Rattus norvegicus: one gene and its partner. The protein of the gene in region 1 purifies or fractionates together with the protein of each later gene. This does not show direct contact. Links are inferred from orthologs where the notes say so. Each region holds a gene or a part of one and is shown on either strand. Other genes may lie near its edges.

The links.
Region 2: the proteins of Phf14 (region 1) and H2ax purify together in Homo sapiens (affinity purification with mass spectrometry; 3 studies listed by BioGRID and IntAct, counting the BioPlex papers as one, with this or other methods). This does not show direct contact. The link is inferred for Rattus norvegicus from reciprocal best matches to the Homo sapiens genes PHF14 and H2AX.

What each region holds. Positions count from the first base shown.
Region 1 is NC_086022.1:41,041,645-41,045,464, reverse strand, and holds part of Phf14 (PHD finger protein 14), read right to left. Parts: exon of another isoform or gene 3,714-3,820; coding exon 3,607-3,713; intron 2,534-3,606; coding exon 2,438-2,533; intron 1,151-2,437; coding exon 1,047-1,150; intron 1-1,046. UniProt on the Homo sapiens protein: Histone-binding protein. Binds preferentially to unmodified histone H3 but can also bind to a lesser extent to histone H3 trimethylated at 'Lys-9' (H3K9me3) as well as to histone H3 monomethylated at 'Lys-27' (H3K27ac) and trimethylated at 'Lys-27' (H3K27me3).
Region 2 is NC_086026.1:53,567,065-53,570,698, forward strand, and holds H2ax (H2A.X variant histone), read left to right. Parts: upstream 1-1,653; 5' UTR 1,654-1,721; coding exon 1,722-2,153; 3' UTR 2,154-3,008; downstream 3,009-3,634. Other genes in the region: Dpagt1 (UDP-N-acetylglucosamine--dolichyl-phosphate N-acetylglucosaminephosphotransferase), read left to right, coding at 38-103; Hmbs (porphobilinogen deaminase), read right to left, coding at 3,622-3,634. UniProt on the Homo sapiens protein: Variant histone H2A which replaces conventional H2A in a subset of nucleosomes. Nucleosomes wrap and compact DNA into chromatin, limiting DNA accessibility to the cellular machineries which require DNA as a template.

The DNA of each region.
Region 1 (3,820 bases):
GGATTTTTTCAATATTCCTGGAAAATACACATGTAAAGCAGCAATAACAAAAATTAATATTAGTAACAACAAAAAAATCCCATTAAAGCTAAAGAATAAGACTTTAAACATATTGTGAAGCAAAAAATAATAATTATAGTCATAAAACTCCAAAGTCTGGTACTATCCCTAATATTTTCCAAAAATCAACCATGCTTGGGAAAACAATGTGGTAATACACTAATGTTCATACTAGAGACAAAGACAGTAATTTGGTTTCCCATATCTCACATCAATACACATGAATACAAACATATATGTGCATGTTATTTTTATGTAACATATAGCACATAATACAAACATACAAGCACAATAGCATATTCTACTATCTCTCTTAATGTAATTAATACATTACATTAAAAAGTGATTTCTTTGTCTAAATATAGAAAGAAATGAAGCCTTTATATACATATACATATAGAAAATGGTTTTGTCATGTAAAATCACTATAATCATCAATTCTGCTTAAATACTGTACAGGAAGTAAAGAAGAAAACTATGTCTGGAATAAGCTAAGCAAGTTGATAAGAAAGTACAGAAAGAAGAAATATTACATTCTTCATCTTTACACACTACGACTCATCACTACCCAAATCAAGAGCAAAATTTCACACTCACTCAAGTAACCTACAAATCCTTACTTATTATGTCCATTAACATAATTAACGATTACATAATTATCGATTTATAAATAAATTTAAAATATTAAATTTAGAATAACAGGCACAGATTTTAAAGTAACTTTGTAATTTCCTGAAAAGAATTCTTTGTTCCACAGAGCTTATGAAAATCCATTCTCAATTCCTTACAAGATATATGATTTACCTTTCTGGAGAACAACTATATCTTCTTTATTCAATCTACAAAGCTTCAAATGAATCTGAAACACTCCTAACTGAAATTCTGAAATGGACAAAGTTCACTTTTGTGCATATGAAATAACTTCTGACTAGTACATAATAGTTAAAAAGTAAACAATATTATTCTGTTATAATTTCATTACTTGCCTATAAAGCACTGTAGGAAGAGAGGATGTCTTTTGTGTGCCTCCTTCTTTTTTACTTGGTTTTCTTTCCTTAGGTGCTCGTAAGATTGCCGGTACATTCAGCTTCTATAGAGTGAATAAATGTCGTACATGCTGTTTGAAAGGTGAGTACAAAGCAGTATTTTCCCCCTACTTGTCTCTAAATCTAACTAAGTAAGCTAGCATTCAGAGAGGGAAATCTGCTTTAAATTAGTAAAGGGAAAACGAATTGCTGATCTCAACTACTTCTATGATAAAGCTACAACTTCATGGGCTCATTAGTTCTCAGAAATACATTAAACTTTATGAAAATTATACTACTTTCACTTGAATACCTTAGAACAATGAGAAAAGTAGAGGAGGCTTAAGAATCTAACACAGTATACTTAGAAAACAACAAAAAACCACCAGTACACTTCTTTGCAACATCCCAGCTATACTGGTGTTCCATAGGTTAATTACAAAAATTATCTTATTGGACCAAACACTATAAAAAAGATGAAATTCTCTTTGGTACTCTTCTAATCTGTAGTATGCTGGCTTCTAAGACAGAACATCTATCAAAGTCACTTCTTAGTGCCCTGGTGAGCTCCCATCTGTTCAGCCAATGGGAACAGTATCGTGCACGTGATACACATGTCTGTGCAGACCGTCTACACACAATGCAATTTTCAGCCCTCTATGAAGTTACCTAATAAATGGAAATGTCTTTTATAGCAGATAATATTTTAAACTATAGAGGAGGCTTTTGTTGAGAAAAATATAAACCCAGCCAAAACAAAAGCTAGAAGAGCAAGTGACCTCTTACACTCCAAATATCCTTTCCGAAATATCAATATAAAATACCATAATCTTCCAAAAATCTACAAACTACTTATTAGTAGGAAAAAAGAGTACATATGTCCAAAAGCGACTCCTCATCTTCACCTTTTAACATCAATTACTCTTTGCAGTACCAGTGACATGCAATCTGTTCATAAAAGAAGGTTATGGGAAAGAAAAATTGTGACAAAAAATCTAATACCACTGAATAAAGAATATACTAAGAGGAAACCATGATTCCTGTCTTAACTCATCAAAAGTCACAGGCCAATCAATATTAATAAAATAACCCACCAACAAGACAGCTGATAAAAGAACCAAGCTAGGTTATAGGTTCTCAGTAGGCAGTGACTACAAGTGGTCTGCAAGCATTTCAGACAGAAATCATTACCCTAGGGGATTAGGCTCTGAAGGAACTGAATTATTTAGTTAGCAAAGTGACTTTTTGTAAGAAATTATGTATACACACACACACACACACACACACACACACACACTGAAAAAATCACAAAGAGAGCAAGAATTGAAGAAAGCAACTGAAAAGAAACTAACCTGCCCTGTAATTCGGCCAAGTAAGGCCCATATTCCTTGTCCTTCACTTCGAAGTTTCCCATTAAGATTTTGCAGTTCCTCTAACGATTCACAGAGCTACAAAAAGAGTAAGTCAAATTAGGAAGCTTTTATTGTGCAAATATAAATAAACAAGAACATTCACACTTATTTTCCATTTAGTCTAATATATTCAGATCAGATAACTACAAAGACAAAGATAATTATGACTAGCATGGTGAACATCCTCAGAAGATAAACACTTTCTTCTCTCCTACAGGTTTTAGTTCTGATGCATACATATATAGTTTGGCAAATCATATGACACATTATTTTGCTATCAAACCACATTTCCATTACTTCTCTTATAAGAAAACTAAAAATCCCCAAGGTTCTTCTGGTTAAGACCATAGAACTACCAAAAGTCTGCAGACCTTGTGACCTTATTCCCTATAGCCTTTTCAGTACAATGTTGTTGATTACTAATTACATCACTTTAAATGGTTGGGTTTTTTTTTTTTGAACAATAATTAGATACTAGTTTAAATATTCATGCTACTTAGAACCTAAGGAAACATTTATTAATCAAAATAGCATATCATTTTTAAAAGTCGAGTACTTTAGGACTGGGTTTTCTTATTTTCAACAAATGAAAGAAGAAGATCTGTAATGCTGTTTACATTTAAGAATAAGGAATGAGGTTAGCTGTGTTAGTTTTAAACCCCAGCTCTTAGTCTTGATTACTATGTTGCCATGAGCAAATTATATAATGTCTTCAATCCTTAGCGCCCACCTCTAAGAAGAGAAGCAATAGCGGCCACTGACACTAAGGACAAGGAGAGAACTACATGACTTTCTGTGTGTGAAGGAATCACAGCTGTGCCTGGTATAAGAATGCACTCAGTGGGGGTTGGGGATTTAGCTCAGTGGTAGAGCGCTTGCCTAGCAAGCACAAGGCCCTGGGTTCAGTCCCCATCTCCAGAAAAAAAAAAAGAATAGAAAAAAAAAAGAATGCATTCAGTGAGAATGACAGTAATGAAAATGATGATGAATGTTGGAAAAGAGCCTAAATTCTCTAGAATTTCAAACTGAAACACAGAAATACAATAAAATCACAAAAGAACTATAAACAAGATCTACCACATAAGACTGAGCATTTGTAGCCAACGTACCTTATTATATTCTACATGAAGCTTTTCTTGCTCATTCTCTAATTTATCCTTTATATTCTTTTGTTCAGCCATATTTTCCTGAATTTGAATCATGCGCATATTTCTCTCTATTTAAATTAAATATCCAATTTTACTTCAGTAGAAAGTAAAGGCTAATAGAAAACATACACAAGAAGCAAACTAGCCATAGAGATGATCATTTGGATAAACTTAC
Region 2 (3,634 bases), on another chromosome or scaffold:
GTCAGCCTTGGTTCCAATTCCAGTCCACTTTTCCTAGGTTCTGAGCAGCGCTGTCACCTTCTCCATTCGTTACCAGCTCGTCCGACTCTTCTATGATGTCTGAGCTCCCTGACGACTGCCCTTTACCACACAGTCTCCATTGGACCTCAGCCAGGACCCACCTCTGTCCGCTCCGACCGCCTTCTGGTCCAGGCTCAGCTTCTGCCGTCATCTGTGACTACTGACATCCTGGATGGACTCCTTAGTGGACTTGACGTCCACTAGTTGGACTTTGCCTATGCTTTCTTGAGTTTGCTACTCCCTCCCTTTCTGCAGCCTCACCAGGTGGGCCTGTAGCATCTTTTATGCAAATATTCATGGCTCAACTTTCAGAACCCTAACTCTAAAGGAATCCCCTGGGCCTTGAGAGAGAACCTGGGCTAGGGCTAGAGTTAGGGCAACATACTCCAAGGTAACCTCACATCTGACTATCAAATTAAGTGTTCTGATTAGGAAGAGCAGAGGCAGGGCCATGTGCTCAGAATGGTGACAATAAAGGATTGCCTTTTACTTGTTCCTCTAGGTGTAGCCACTCCTTCCTCCTTTCTTTTTAACCTTTGAGGTTCTTATTGAACCCTAGGGCATCCTTATACTTAAATGCTCTACCACTGAACTATATCCCAAGCTCGACATATTTATTTTTTTATATAGGCATTTTAGAATAGATTGAAAGGATTAGAGTGGGTACCTTTTCCAATAGGATCCCTACCCCTGCTCCCCTCAGACCCTTTCTTGTAAGAGAGGTCTGTCACATACTGAGACCAGACAGAACATATCAAATAAATATTACAGCACAAACTTGTGATAGCATAATGGATAACGGTGCTCCGTTTTCTGGCACAGGATTAAACTCTCAGAAGGTTTCATTTCTTTCATTTTAAACCCTCCCTTTTCAGCCAAGCCTTTAATCCCAGCACAAGGGAGGCAGAGGCAGGCGGATCTCTGAGTTCCGGGGCACCAAGGGCTAATCAGAGAAACCCTGTCTCATTAAAATAAAAGCCAGATGGTGGTGGTGCACGCCTTTAATCCCAGCGCTTGGGAAGCTGAGGCAGGCAGATCTCAGAATTCGCAGCCAGCCTGGTCTACAGAGAGATCCAGGACATCCAGAGTTACACAGAAAAACCCTGTCTCGAAAACCCAAAAATAATAATAAAGAACAAGCAAATAAATAAACCCTTCCCTTTGCCAGATTAGAGGAGGGAGTAGGAAGTGCCCTAACCTGGAAGGAGAAAGGTGCTTACAGTGAAGACCCTTTTCCTTTAAAACCACAGGCCGGCTCAGATTTCCCAGAAACCATAGAGGTAGCTCCAAGCTCCACCCTTCTAGTCTTCGGGTTTGTGGGCGCGCCGTAGCGTTTAAATTTCGCGCGCTCTATACTGATTGGCCATTTCCAAGGGTGATTCGCCTCTGGCTTGCAGCCACTCCGCCTTGTCTTCTTCCCCGGGTAAAAGGTTTTCAAATTGGACCAATCGCTGAGCGCGTTCTCTCGGCTATGGCGCGTCACCGAAGGGTTAATTGCAACCAACCAGAGGTGGGTATTAAAAAAAGAACCAATTAGGCGGAAGCGGGGGCGTGTCCAGAGAGTTTATAAGGGCGAGCTTGCCCGCGCGAGGCGACAGTTGACTGCGGCGGTTGGCGGTTTGTCTCCTGGCGTTTTTCTCAGCCCTTCTACCTCGCACACGATGTCGGGTCGCGGCAAGACCGGCGGCAAGGCCCGCGCCAAAGCCAAGTCGCGCTCTTCGCGCGCCGGCCTTCAGTTCCCGGTAGGCCGCGTGCACCGACTGCTGCGGAAAGGCCATTACGCCGAGCGCGTGGGCGCAGGCGCGCCCGTGTACCTGGCGGCGGTGCTCGAGTACCTCACTGCCGAGATCCTGGAGCTGGCGGGCAACGCGGCTCGGGACAACAAGAAGACGCGCATTATCCCGCGCCACCTGCAGCTGGCTATCCGCAACGACGAGGAGCTCAACAAGCTGCTGGGCGGCGTGACTATCGCGCAGGGCGGCGTCCTGCCCAACATCCAGGCCGTGCTGCTGCCCAAGAAGACCAGCGCCACCGTGGGGCCCAAGGCGCCGGCGGGCGGCAAGAAGGCCTCCCAGGCCTCTCAGGAGTACTGAGGGAGCCCGCGCCGCGGCTGCCCAGCCCTCCCCCACCTCCACAAAGGCCCTTTTAAGGGCCACCACCTCCCTCACAGAAAGAGCTGAGCCACTTCGGGCTCCGGCCCGCCGCGTCCCCATCCCATTCTCTCCTCTCAGTCCTCGCGTCTTTACCCTTCCCTGTGCGGCCTCCGGGTCTGCCACAGGACGCGGGCGCCGGGGCACCTACCCATCCCGGAGCTCGTGACATCGCTTCGCCGTTCTCAGTCGTCGACGGGCTGTGCGGAGAGGTTGCGGCACCTTCCACCTTCCAGAAATCTCGGCCCTTTGCTATGACGTACGGCCGAGGTGGGCTTGAAGGTTAGTTAACCACCACCACCACCCCCCCCCCCCGCAGCTACAACCCCAGCGTTTTCAGCTTGGTGCTTAGCCCTCTCCTGGACCTTTCAGAAGTGAGTTGATTGCCGGACTTTGGTGAGAAGCGGATCATACTGTTTCACTCTGTGTCCCCCTTACTGGCCTCTCAAACCAGTTGACCCTGTCGTCATTTGTAGGCCGGCATGTTATAACGTGAAGCCAATTTTTCCAAGATAAACTGGAAAGGGTCAGGGAACGCCTATTGGCCTGTGGACAGAAGAATTGTATACCTGCCGCAGAAGACTAGAGGAGCCGGGCCTAGCTATCCCTCTCCCTTAACTCAAACTACAACCCAAACACCCAGATACCAGCACAAGTCGGTGAATCCCTGTCTGGACTGAGCCTCTGGCTTCTGAACTGGAACTTTTGCAGCTATTACAAGTTTAGAACCTTAAGAAGTGGGGAGATTCAATGGGCTAATTTTATTAAAGGATCGTTTTTGGTTTGTTTTTTTTTTTTAAACGGAGTGTCTGATTTAATTTTGAATGCCTAACTTAACTTTGAATGCTGTAGTCCCAGGGCTGGACATTTACAGCTCCATAGTCGAGGAGCCATGTGCCCAGAACATCTCGTGGGAGGGAGTGGGACTAGAGGATAAACTTACCTTCCTTTCTGCAGGCACTGGGAATGAAAGGCTATGTGAAGATCCTGTTAACTAAAGACAGGCAGGCTGTAGGGATGAAGGCTAGTTTCTTTGCTTGGTTGAGAATGATCAGGATGTTTTACAACAGAAAGGTCCCAGACTCAGAATTCAGGTTTAAAAGGGCTTTGGGTTTATTCATATCTTCCCCCAACTCCAGGAGAACCACATTCTGAACTGATTAGTGGCATTGGTTACATTAAAAGATTGGCATGGACTTTCTCTAAAGAGATGAAGCCCACAAACTACTGAGGGAAAGGCAGTCATGGAGGCCCCAAGTTGAGGCATATCTTCCAAGGCCGAAGTCTCAACAACTCTGGTTCAATCTCCTGGGATAATCATTCCCCTTGTTAAGGAGCACAGGGCACTTGACAGCCAGACATAGGCACTGGAGTGACAGCTGGGGTTCGGTTCCTGTGCCCTGCAGGCCAGTTAGCGCACATCA